Ovis aries: one gene and its partner. The protein of the gene in region 1 interacts with the protein of each later gene in a biochemical or structural test. Links are inferred from orthologs where the notes say so. Each region holds a gene or a part of one and is shown on either strand. Other genes may lie near its edges.

What was found.
Region 2: the proteins of ARF6 (region 1) and HTR2A form a complex in vitro, tested with the Homo sapiens proteins (2 studies listed by BioGRID). The link is inferred for Ovis aries from reciprocal best matches to the Homo sapiens genes ARF6 and HTR2A.

Annotation. Positions count from the first base shown.
Region 1 is NC_056060.1:41,105,643-41,111,571, reverse strand, and holds ARF6 (ADP-ribosylation factor 6), read right to left. Parts: upstream 2,886-5,929; coding exon 2,358-2,885; downstream 1-2,357. UniProt on the Homo sapiens protein: GTP-binding protein involved in protein trafficking that regulates endocytic recycling and cytoskeleton remodeling. GTP-bound form plays an important role in the transport of multiple palmitoylated proteins form the Golgi to the plasma membrane.
Region 2 is NC_056063.1:17,203,961-17,211,648, forward strand, and holds the start of HTR2A (5-hydroxytryptamine receptor 2A), read right to left. Parts: upstream 4,227-7,688; 5' UTR 4,067-4,226; intron 3,612-4,066; 5' UTR 3,280-3,611; coding exon 2,868-3,279; intron 1-2,867. UniProt on the Homo sapiens protein: G-protein coupled receptor for 5-hydroxytryptamine (serotonin).

The DNA of each region.
Region 1 (5,929 bases):
TTTCTTATCAAAAGGTTTAGGGTTTTCCAAATTTCAAATATTTGCTCCCCCTCCTCCCCCCACCTTAAGACATTTCAAATAAACTAAAAATAACCACATCTCACCTGCAACATTCCTTAGCAATCACTTGATGTATAAAATTTTAACTATGCTCCCAGTTATTTTAAGACACAAAAATGGCTGCCTACCAATGTCTTGTCACAAGTTAGAAATACTACATTTAAGAATTAACATGAGGGTTTCAAGTTTCCTCCAGTTTAGGCATTTATACCTTTGTGCTTGTCTCTTCAGGATGTTACTGTAATATTGATATTTGTATAACCCATGTTTATGTACCTTATATGTAATCATTTAAAACACTAGTAATTAAATGTATGATGGAGCTTTGGGAATTTTAAAAGCAACGAAAATGTTCTTAGATGTGTGTCAGCTTCATTTCCAGAGATACTTCTACTAAAGTGAAACTGAGAACTTGATACTTTAGTTGCATTTTGAATTCAAAAATCCCTCTGCACCATTAGGAGCCTACAACATAGCACCTTTTCTCATCTGCTTTAAGTAAAACGTTTGTCAAGAGTTTTACTTTGAAGAGTTAATTTTCTATAGCCTTGTATTTCTCATACATCTTTGGTAAAAGCTCCATTATACAATATGGCCAAAGCATGAAGGACCAATACTGTCCAATCATATACCATGATATCCCGTTCAATTTTTGTTTTCAGACACCCTCATAAACAAAACCCACTTCACCTTTTCCTGTAAACTGCGTTTGCAGTCTACATTTTTGAAATTCCCTAAGTTTTAATTCCTTGAGGATCTCTACAATTAATCCTTAAGGCTATACGAGAACCAGATGCTGCTACACTGTTCTATACCAAGCATTAACATTTGGTTCAAAGTTTTATCATAGTGGTCTCAATAATCTAGTTACTGGTCCTAACCAGCTAAGCAAGTAATCTTGTTAAGATCTGGGTATCACCAGCAAGCACACTGCTTACACTTGAAGAAAAATAAGTTTACATTCATTGTCATCTGTAGGTTCTTCTTCTACATCTTACTTCCCCTTTGTCATTCCTCAAGTCTACACATCATTCATTCATCACATTTCCTTCCTTAAAGGAGATAGTGTATTTTTGAACCAACAGGATATCTATTTGCATGAGTTAATCCAACAGAATACTTTTTATAAAACATCTTTTCCAGTGTTCTAATTAATGGATATGGATCACTCATTTACTAAAAAAAAAAAAAGACATCTTCAGGTTAATCAGTTGCTGTAATGTGGAAACAGGTTTTTTTCAACTAGGTAAAAGGTGCATATAATTTGAATTGTTAAATAATTAATTAATGAACAAAATAACCATTCCAGTAATTTAAAATCTACTGGTCTTTAGATATTTGAAACATGGTAAAAGGATATATTCCAGTTTTGCCCAAAAGTCACTTAAAATATCTACAAATATTTCATCTGAGTATGTTATACACCATTATTGCTCCATTTTCTGGAAGAGTATGTTTTTAAAGTTAACAAAGAGGGAAAACACAGCAAAGTTGCTAATTTTGAAGTGAAAAAAAATCTGCGTCCTTGACAGGTTATATTTTCAGTTTTATGCAGTGTAAGTTAGCTTTGCAATGGGGAACTTGAGTTTTATCCTTACTCATGCATGATGTACGTTTCAGAACTTAATAGCTGAAATTTCAAAGAACTGCTTACATTATCTGTTTAACATACTGATGTGCAACTGGAACATATTACAAGGATATTACTCATTATTTGCCACTGTGGGCTAAGTTTACTATACTGGTCTTAGATATAAAAGGTCACATTTGAATTTACTTAAAGTCAGAACTCATAAGAGGGGGCGAAAAGGCCTTAAATATAAAAGACAAACAGCAGTTTGATTAAGCAATAATTTTCAGTTTACTAGATGAAACAGACTTGCAACATAGTCTGCATGAATGCAAAATAAGCCATCTACAGCAAGTGATAAGGAAACTGGGCAAAAAGGAAAAAAGCATACATTGGAAAAGAAGATTCTCTCGAGATAAAAAAATCAAACCATTATTATAAAGGAATTTACCAAGAACTGCTATATTTCCCCCATCCCATTTGCTGGAAGTCAACAAGAGCATCTAGCACTTTGTGTTCATGTCAAAAAGTCAGATCAGAGCATCCTAACGCAAAGCAAAAAAAGAAAGAAAATCCCTAACCCCCTCCCCCAAACCGCAGAACTGTAACTCCAGAGTTCAAATTCAAAAGAAGAGAAAGTGGCAATTGAAAGAGGTGATGGTGGCGATAATCCTATGAATGGGTTTTTGATTTCTCTCCTTTCCGGGGGATGGGTGGAGAATGCTCATTAGGATTTGTAGTTAGAGGTTAACCATGTGAGCCCCTCATAGAGTCCGTCCCCCGAGGTGGCACAGGAGGGCTGCACATACCAGTTCCTGTCCCGAATCCGGGTCAGGCCCAGTTTCTCCTGGATCTCGTGGGGTTTCATGGCATCGGGGAGGTCCTGCTTGTTGGCGAAGATGAGGATTATGGCGTCCCTCATCTCCCGGTCATTGATAATGCGGTGCAGCTCCTGGCGGGCCTCGTCGATGCGGTCGCGGTCGGCGCAGTCCACTACGAAGATCAGACCCTGGGTCCCGGTGTAGTAATGCCGCCAGAGCGGCCGGATCTTGTCCTGGCCGCCCACATCCCATACGTTGAACTTGACGTTTTTGTAAGTCACCGTCTCCACGTTGAAACCCACAGTGGGGATGGTGGTCACCGACTGGCCCAGCTTCAACTTGTACAGGATGGTTGTCTTGCCGGCCGCGTCCAGGCCCAACATGAGGATCCGCATTTCCTTGTTCCCGAAGATCTTAGATAGCACCTTCCCCATCGCGTCGGAAGAGCCGGGGCCGGGGGCATTCAGGTGTCCCGGGTCCCCTCCGCCAACAACGCCGCCGCAGCCGCGAAACAGAAACGGAGCCTCCCAGTCGCGAGGGCGCCCGTGCGGCCTGCGTGGGAGTCGCCTCCTCTGGGCAGAGGCCCGGGCCCGCCGCTCACTCGGGCATCACCCACCACACAACTTGATTCCTCCAGGCGCCGCGGCCGCCGGGCGCTGAGTCTGCGCCGGGAGAGCCGCCGCCCTGCTGAGGCGCGGCCCGGCCCGGAACTGCCCTTCCCCCCGCAGGCGCCGCGCGAGCGCCGCCGCGGTTCCCGCTCCTCCGCCTTCTCCTGGAAGACTGCGGCCCTTCGGCCCGGTCCCCGGTCCGCGAGCACCGCGCTCACCACCGACCCAGGCCACCCGAGAGGCAGCGCGGCTCTGGCGCCCGGTCAGGTCATAGATCCTCGCGGGAACTCGGTGCGCTGCCTGCGGAGACACAGAGAGGGAAAAAGGAGTTACTGCGGGAGCCCCAGCGGAGAGTGGAAGCCGAGGGGGCCCGCCTCGTCAGCTCAGCCCAGGAGGTTACCTCCAGCCGCCGCCCCGCGCGCGGGCTCCCTCCGGCCTCCACAGCCTCCTCCCAGTTCTGCCGCTGCCGCCGCCGGAAAAGGCGCCGAGGAAACCGCCTCACTTCCCCTCCCGACTACGCAGGCGCAACAGAGGGAGTCCAACCGTTCGGGCAAGAGCGACCTCTGTAAGGAGAGCGGCCCGCGCGCCAAGCGTCGGGGCGCCACGCGCTGGGGGCGGGGCTACGGCGGCCCGGAGGTCTCGCGGGTGCGGCCAACCCGCACCCCCGCGAACCTGGGACTCTGACTAGCTCCCACCTGTCTGTCGCTCCTCTAGCGATTCCTTCCTCTATGCGTTCCTTCTTCTGCGCTCTCACTTCCTCCACTCCCAACTCGATCCAGGGGAGCTGATCCTCTACGGAGCTCCAAGGGGTGGGGCTCACGGACCGCCCGCTCCCCCAACGAACGCCTTCCCCGTGCTCCTTCCAGGCCTGTTCGCAGACCCCGATACCTGCCTGATGCTCCGCGAGGTCCCTCCAGCCTGCCGCAGCCTTCGGGAGCCCTCAGTCTCCCAGGGAAGCCGTAGCCACGGTTTTTACCTTTCCCCTGGCCCTCTTTGGCTTCCTTTTATCCCTCGTGTTCTGTGCGTTTCCTGAAAGACACGTGGGAGGCAAGTGGTTCGCGTGGAATCTGCCAGTCAGTGCGGCGCTTTTACTGGGCTTCGGTTTGTTCTCAAGCCCGTCTTTGGGGCATTTGAGCCCAATCTCAACACATCTCGGCAGGACCAGTCCACGTTTTTGTTTTGTGTTTTTTTAATTACAGTATTATCAACAGTTTCCATGCTTTTTCAGCTTTTTAGGAGGTGATAAATTTTCATGTATAAATATTATCATCTTTTAGTGTAATTAATAATAACTTCTTACCCAGCCACTCATTTGGAGAAGGAAATGGCAACCCACTCCAGTGTTCTTGCCTGGAGGATCCCAGGGACGGGGGAGCCTGGTGGGCCGCCGTCTATGGGGTCGCACAGAGTCGAACACGACTGAAGCGACTTAGCAGCAGCTGCAGCAGCAGCCACTCATTCTCAACTTTAAGAATTAGAAAGACTACTTCTGTTGCCTCGATTTGAGCATTTAACCTTACTGAGTTATCTCATGTTTAAACTGAGTGTACTACTGACTTTGCTGTCCACAAACCCTATTTGAGGGTTAAGTAATAAGTATAATGTTTGTAGAAAACTTAAGGAAACCTTTTTGTGTCAGATGTTTATTGGTAAAGCTAGACCTAAAGTGAAAGCTGGAAATGAACGAAAAACGGGAAAATAATGTTCTTTTTTTAAAGAAAATGCTGTAATAACATAAGGTAACATACTTCTTTCTTCACAGTTTAAGAAAATGTGATAGTGGTAGATGGGTTAAATGATAACCTCATAAACGTCAGCCTGAAGTAAATTTACTTACCAAAGTTATTAATATTCTAGCAGTGATTTACTTACCATCAGCCTGAATATGCATGCACTGTCTTAAAATTGAAAGAAAGATTTAGAGTCAGAAGATTGGGGTTCAGAGTGTCACCCCTCCATTTCATAGCTGTGAATCCTTTCCTCTAAACCTTTGTAAATTCCATCTTCTTTAAGCTGTTGAAACAGATGAAAAATGATATCATCTAGAATGAAAGTCACTATATTGATTGTCATGAACAGTCGTGTCCGACTCTGTGCGACCCTATAGACGGCAGCCCACCAGGCTCCCCTGTCCCTGGGATTCTCCAGGCAAGAACACTGGAGTGGGTCGCCATTTCCTTCTCCAATGCATGAAAGTGAAACGTGAAAGTGAAGTCACTCAGTCGTGTCCAACTCTTCCTGACCCCATGGACTGCAGCCCACCAGGCTCCTCCATCCTTGAGATTTTCCAGGCAAGAGTACTGGAGTGGGGTGCCATCACCTTCTCCAAGGAACACTGTATTACATACTTTAAATATTTTCCTTCAACCTGCACAACAACCATGTGAGGTAACTTTAAGTATTAGTGGAAACTGAGGGTCAGAGAGGTTAAGTAAGTTTTTGAAGGTTCTAGTGTTGCGATCAAATGGTGAATCTATGGCTCATCCTCTTAACCCAAATTTATGCTGTCTCCCTGAGAACTTCACACGGTTGGTTGGAAGCTCGATTATGTTATAGTTGACTCTTGAACACCATGGGTTTGAATGGCACACATCCACTTGTATCAGTACTTGGCTTTTTTATTTTTTTTTTCGGTAGATTTGTAGTATGTTACTACACAATCCGGGTTGGTTGAATCCACATGTGAAACCTGGGATATGGGGGGCTGACCTAGAAGTTATCCTCAGAATTTAGGCTGTGTTGATGTGAGACCTCCAATGTCCCTATTGTTCAAGGGTCAACTGTATTTCTCAAAATGCTTTATAACTATTGGGTTGGCCAAAAAGTTCATTCAGGTCTTTCTGTACAATGATATGGGAAAAACCCGAACG
Region 2 (7,688 bases), on another chromosome or scaffold:
GAATCATGCTGGTGTGTTGTAAACTCAGGCTGTGTCTCTTCAGGGTTTCTCTCGTTCTGTCTCCTCTACCTAACAATATCTACTTCTCTTTTTGTTTTTAATGACTTAGGTTGGGAATTGTGATGTACTTTGGGTTCCTCTATCAAAGAACCCTGGGGAATTCCATGGACAGGGGAGCCTGGTCAAAGAATCCTATTAGCTACTTACTTATTGACTTACTTTTTTTCAGACTGTAGGTTTCCTGAGGTTAGACCATCTCTTAGCCATTATTACAATTGCTCAGTCTTGTGCAGTGACGGCATTTAGCAGTCTGCCAAAAATGCTATTGGTGTGAATGAAGAAATGTTTAAAAATCCAGACTGGGCATGTGTGCATGCTGTTTCTTCAGTCATGTCCGGCTCTGTGAGACCCTGTGGGCTATAGCCCACCAGGCCCCTCTCTCCCTGGGATTCTCCAGGCAAGAATACTGGAATGGGTTGCCATGCCCTTCTCCACAGACTGGGTATATGCCTTCATGAAAATGAAGCTTCCCTAATAATTTGGGGATTAAATTCAAACTGGAGGGACAGGAGGTGGGGCAGGAGGGATGAAGACAGTGGTGAAGAAAAGGATGGTATTCTTCTGAGAACTGTTTCAGGGAAGTGATGCTGAAACTTGAAGGAGCCTCAGAATCTCCGAGGTGGTTTCTTAAAATGAGCCACTGGAGCCCGCCTCCAGGTGTTCTGATTCTACGCATGTGCAGTGGAGCAGGAAGAATTGCATTTCTAACAATTTCCCAGCTGGTACGGATGCTACCTGTCCAGGAACCACACTTGGGCAACCACTGCCTGGAGCAGTGGTTCTCACCCAGGGGTGCACATTAGAATCAGTTGAACAGCTTTTCTGGGTGTCCTGATATCCAGGAGGGTGGGTGGAAGTTGGACCTCAACATTAAATTGACTTAAAGCTACCATAAGGATCCACTGTGAGATGCAGGGCAGGAAGTCACCTGCTATGTTAAAAAGATAGGGTATGTCTGAGGGACACACAGTCTCCTGTATCTGTTTTAGAGGGAGATCAAATGGTTATAGGAACCTTCCTTAGTTTTGATGACAATCTAAGCCGTGGTGTTAGATCTGCACACATGTTAAGAAGGAAAATTATGAAAACCATCTTTCCCCACGCTCTGGACCCGCAAAGCTGAACAAAGTCTCTATTCACAAACCATCTCTACCAAGACGCCACCACTGATGTTTAGAAAAGTTAAAGCGCAGGAGACAAGTCTGACTTGGCGCCTTTTATGCTGTATGCAGAGAGCTTGAGCTCCAAGGAGAGCCCAGTGCCTGGGAGGAAACCACCCGCTGCCTGGTCGGAACTGATGCTGACCGTGGGAGGAGTTTTCTCTGCAAGGAGGCAGCGGCTGACCGTAGTCTGGGTTTCTGTGGTGGGGATAAGGAGGGGGCATTTCTGTGGAGTCCTGGGGACCAGCCAAAGGAGAGGCGCGTCTCTCTCGGGAATCAACTGCGCACAGAGCCTCGGCCACCAGGGGGCACCATTGCACCCCGAGCCGGCGGTGCCCAGCTGGACTCGACTTGCTAACCTGGCTGACATCTGCCAGCCCCACTCGCCGCTCTGGGGTACCTACCGCTCCCCGCCTCCCACCGGGGCTTGGGTTCCCGGATGGGCCCTCTGGGAGCCATCTCCCACTCCTGGAGTTTGCCTTCCACATGGCAGGGTTTTAGGAAGCGGGGACCTCTCCCGGATGTCTGGGAAATGACAAGCGAATGTAATCAGATCATCCTGGTGTGACATTTTGAGTCGTCAAGCGGGGGCTGGCCTTGCAAGGAGCACTGTGGACCCTGTGCAAACCTGACGCCCACGCTCCCTTGCTCACCTCCTTCCTCCTCCATACTGCTTGGGGATGGATTGATACACATATTTTAGGTCTTAAGACATAGCCAGAAAAATCCCTTCTAAAAATGCCCATAAACTGTTTCTAGCTCTAGGTGACGGGCTGGTGTGCCTGTGTCAGCGGTCTCAATAATCTCCCCTCCTCTTCCACTTTTAAACGGAGACATCTGGCTATATTACTCATAATTTGGAAAGAATATCACATTCTGCTTCCCGCTGAAGTCGTCCCAGTGTTTGCTGACTTGCTGAGAGGTTTGACTCTTTCAAACTCCACTGAGAAGAGGCAAGATAAATCTCTTCCCATGTGTTTCCCACCCTCCTCCAAACAATTCGGGAGGAGTTTATGCATATGCATTTTTAAAGAGCTGAGGGGTAGAATTCAAAGGCACACCTCCAAATTAATGCTGCTTCAGGCAGGGAACAATTAAAACTGGTATAAGTCATTTAGTCTAATGGAGACGCTGCATATTTTAACATTAAACCCACTGCACTACTAATGTTCTCTCTGTAAATATTCCAAGGGAACTGGGAAGGTTTTACCACTCCATTAGAAGTACTGAAAGCAGTGTGACCAAGATCAAACTGGCCTGTCTCGAAGGCTGGGATATTTGGTTGGGAATATAAAGGCTTGAAAACCAAGTGGATTCAGATATGACAGATGCTATTGCTTTAGGACTGTCTTGGGACCTTTATAATTCTACATAAAATGTACGTGCTTTTAAGCACAATGCTTTCTCTCCCTGTGTAAACTGTGTATGTTTCAAAGCACAAAACTCTCCAATGATCACAGCATACAGTTTGTCTGATCTTTTACAATGTGATCTCATTTTAAAATTTAAGTAGTATAACATGGTAGCCCCTCCTCCATAAACAAAGCCTTACGCTTAGTTGGTCCCCTGAGCCCAGACTCATCTGCTAATGACATGCGTGCGTTTTGTTACCCATGTGGGTACAGCTAGGAAGCTAATGCCACTCACCATAGAGGATGGTTAACATGGACACGGGCATGACCAGGAAACCCAGCAGCATATCAGCTATGGCGAGTGACATCAGGAAATAGTTGGTGGCATTCTGCAGCTTTTTCTCTAGGGACACTGCCATGATGACGAGTATGTTTCCGGCAATGGTTAGTATAATCACTACCGCTGTCAACAGAGCAGACCAGTTCTTTTCCTGGAGATGAAGTAAGGAGAAGCAGGGTGGTGAGAGACAGCCCTCACAGGAAAGGTTGGTTCGATTTTCCGAGTCCACGGTCCAGTTAAATGCATCCGAAGTGTTACCTTCTCCGGAGTTAAAGTCAGTATTGTAGAGCCTTGTGTCAGCATGTAATTGCATTAAGGAGTTCGTAGTTGAGCTCAAAGAAGTGTTTTCTTCACAGAGAATATCCATTTCTAAGCCGGAACTTGTAGCAGATGAAGTGTAAGAAAAACCTTACCGGTTACAGGCTCTGGTCACCATTCAGCTTTATGTCCCCAAGCTCTGTCACAATGAGGCTGGCGTATGTGCTGGGCTCCATCGGTTGGCTTTTCTTCTTCCATTATTACAATAGAAGATAAAGAACTGCGGTGGCTTCTTTACAGTGCTTTCCTTCACAATTTCAGTAGAATCCTCTGTCTAGCTTCTTTTCTTTTTTTTCTCTCCAAAGCAAGATCAAAAAAGCAGCATAAACTTTTAAGAGAGAGGTTGCTGAGTTTTGAGGAGTCAGGGAGAAAAATATAATCCTGGCCAAAAAAAAAAAGAAAAGTTTTGTTAACTACCAGGACTGTCATTTAGCTCTATCTCATTCCATTGGTTACACTGATCATACTAGTTTAGCCACAGCAGCGTTAAAATAGCATTCGATCCCAAACAGTGGGGCTGCAGGCAGCCTACAGTACGGCAGGCTGTTAAAAACACATCCAGGGTAAATCCCATAGTAAGTATAGTGGTACTTTGGGTTATAGTTGTCAGTCTTGGGATGCATTGCCCCGACTGCCTTCAGGAATTTCAGCTTGTATTCTGTGGCTTAGTTAATCAAAGGGAAAAAAAAAAAAAAATCTTAAGGATCAGCAGACAACTTTCCACACTGGGAATTCTCATCGAAACAATTCCATGGCGGCCAAGCAGCCTTTCAAGCCAGAAAGAAAATGACACAAGCGTAAAACACAGCAGCCAGCCGGAGAGCGCGGCAACTTACACGGGTCCTCAGGGTCCGCCCGGGAGACACGCTCGGCTCATCTGTGACTCGCTGCATCTCTCCTGGTGATCAAGCCGGCAGAGAGAGCCCCTTCTCCCCGAGCGGCCACTGCCAGCATCGTAGTAATTCGATTTCTGTTTTGCTGACTTCAAAACTGTCTGGGAGAGTCGAGCCAGTGCCAGCGTTGCCAGGTCCGCGGCGGCTCCCTCTGCCCCCGCCCGGCTGGGTGCTCCCTCCCTCCCGCGGGGCTCGCCGGGCAGGGCGCGCGGAGACATGGTCCCCGGCCGTGCGGACCGCGTCGCGGGCTTCCAGTGGGCACAGCCGCCCACTCCAGGGACTCCCGCGTCCCCGGCAAGGGACTTGCTCCCCACCGCCGCCTGGTTCGCTCCGGCAGCCCTCCCTCAGTCTGTGTCATAAACTGCAAGGTAGCAACAGTCAGGGAGGGCGGACCAGAAGGGCTGTTTTTTTTTTTTTTTTCATTTGCTACATATTAACAGTGGGAAGTTTTCCTTTTTTTTTTTTTTTTTTTAAATTTTAAAGAGAGTAACGGGAGAAATCGCCTTTGGTACAGATTCCTAAGGCAGGTAAGCCCTACTGTGATATTGTTTAGGGTGAAAGGTGAAGAGAGAATGTAAGTAAAGGCAGAGAATGGTATTTCCTCGGAGCGCTTGTGCTTCCAGGCAGAGAGCTTATTCCAAAGTGGAATTCCTGACTTCCGCGATTTGGGCTCAGAATGCCTAGCAGATTTTTGGTAATAACGCTGAGAAGCTATTAGTACTATTTTTTTTTTTTTCCTTCACATTTTTAAACATACCCATTAAACTAGCTTATTTTCTGCAGCAGAAATATACCCCCTAGAAGTAATCCAATACTTCCCACGGGGAAGAGAATAAGTTTTTCCAGAGATAACATTAAGAACAGTCACCTTTACTTGTAAGAAAGCTCCTTCTCAGATTTTTAAATAAGGCAGATATGTCTGGAATCTCTGTGTGTGTATGTGGGAAAATGGATTCTTTCCTGAATAGTTGAGGTTTTCTAGGTTTCTGTTCATCTTTTTATTCTTTACATTTTCCTTAGCCAAATACACCTCCTTTCTCATTCCTTTAACATGGTTTTGGCCAATCTGTGCCTTCACGGTGGATTTGCCTCAGATATTTAGTTGCCCAGCAGGCCCTTTCATCTCTAGCCTGGGCGATGTTGGCCTGAGCATCATTTCCCCCTCTCCCGTTCTGCCCCCACCTCTTCCTGCTTATTCCCATCCTTCCACTCGGTTAGAGAATCACCCTCTCTCAGACAGCTGGCTATTTTCCACATCTCTTCCCTCCTTTTCACTGCCTGATCTTAAGTCTCCAGGGCCACCTCTGTGTACACATTTCTCGAATCTCTTCTCCAGCCTACAACCCTCACTTGTTTGATTAAAGGCTGTATCATATTCTCCTGGGCTTCCCTGGTGGTAAAGAGTCTGCCTGCAATGTGGGAGACTGGGGTTCGATACTTGGGTGAGGAAGAGTCCCTGGAGAAGGAAATGGCAACCCACTCCAGTATTCTTGCCTGCAGAATCCCATGGACAGAGGAGCCTGGCAGGCCACAGTCCATGGGGTCTCAGACCAGTCAGACAGGACTGAGCAATGAACACTTTCACTTTCTCATTGTCTCCTGGGCTGGAGCAGGAATCCACCCCTCTCTGCCCTTCCTGTCTTCCTCTGACTCCTCTGCTTCCCTTGGGATGGGGGTTGATTGCCACGTATTACAGAGCCAGCTGCGGAGAGAGCACGGGCTTTTGAATCAGAGTTCCCCAGGTTTGAGCCACAGCTCTGTTACTCACAAGGAGTAACAGACAGTCAAGTTGCTTCATTTGATTGCAGTAAAACTAAAATGTGATAAGGAGTAGAAATATTTAGCCTATGTCTGGCTGCTCTGGAAGAATGTTAGCCGCTTTAATTCTTATTAATATTCTTACTGATATTACTAAATGTGGCACTTTGTGCCAACATGCCTTCAGTCTCCCTAGGGCACGCGGCTCCTGTCTGTGCCCATCCCCCACTGCTCCCACCAGCGGCCTACATGCAGATGAATTTGTCAATTTCTGATGATTTTAAAGCATTTCACTCCCGTTCACTGTGTCTGGAATACTCCCCCCACCACTTTTGTGTCCATTTCGCAGATTGCTACTCAGCTTTCAAGGCTCAGTTCCAATGTTATGTCCTCTGAATCCCAGGCCAACCGTTACCACCTGTGTGATGTGGGTGAAACTACTAACCTCTCTGTGCTGTGACTTCCTCATCTATAAATAGGATGTAATAATAATATCTACCTCTGGGGATTGATTTGAGAGTTAAGATTCATGTATTTGCCTGGAACATTTTACACCCTCAGTAAAGGTTAGTTGCTGTTGTTACTACTGTTGTTTGGCTTACTGTTACAAAGCTTTCCATGGCATTCTTTCTGCACGGAGGCAGACTATAGCACCTTCTATTTGAACGCGTCCCACATTGCATGCAAGCGCTAGAAGGGCAAAGATTATGTTTTTATTATTCATGGTATATATAGTTGGTGCTTAGATGTGTTTGTGGAATGAATGAATGATTTATAGTCACTTGTTTACATGTCTGTCGTCCTTATTAGACAGTGAACTTCTTATTCATCTCTGTACCTTCAGTACCAAACATAACGTCCCCTAATGGGATGTCCTTGGTAGATGCATTATTGTTAAGGAATAAATGAACTGATTCAGGGAGAAAATTCTAACTCCTTTTTCATTGTTTTATCCAACGGGATTAATTTTATTTATAAAAGGCAAAGGAAGCAATAAGGTCCTACTGTGTAGCATAAGGAACTATATTTAATATCATAATAAACCACGATGGAAAATAATATGAAAAAGAATATATATTTACATACATATATATTATATATATATATGTATATGTTACTCTTGCCTCGAAGATTCCATGGATGGAGGAGCCTGGAAGACTGCAGTCCATGGGGTCGCTGAGGGTCGGACATGACTGAGCGACTTCAGTTTTATTTTTCACTTTCATGTATTGGAGAAGGAAATGGCAACCCACTCCAGTGTTCTTGCCTGGAGAATCCCGGGGATGGGGGAGCCTGGTGGGCTGCAGTCCATGGGGTCGCTGAGGGTCGGACACGACTGAGCGACTCCGCTTTCACTCTTCACTTCCATGCATTGGAGAAGGAAATGGCAGCCCACTCCAGTGTTCTTGCCTGGAGAATCCCAGGGACGGGGGAGCCTGGTGGGCTGCCGTCTGTGGGGTCGCACAGAGTCGGACACGACTGAAGTGACTCAGCAGCAGCATGTGTATATGTATGCATATGTGTATATATATAACTGAATAAGAGGGCTAAGGCTCTCCCTCTATCTGCTGCTGGAAGTGTTGGCAGCTGTCGGCTCTCAGCGGATCCCTCCCCTGTTCCAGAGTGCCCCACCTTTGTGGTGGCTGCATCACAGTTAAAGTCCTCCCCCTGGCTGGCCCTGCTTCCCTACAGCTGTTGGTCTGAAGCTTTCCCTAGTGAATCTACACACAAGGGTTCCTAAGGCGCCCAACCTAAGACTTCCAATTTTAAACTTGCGTTTCAGTGCCTTTATGCCACGTAAGGAAGA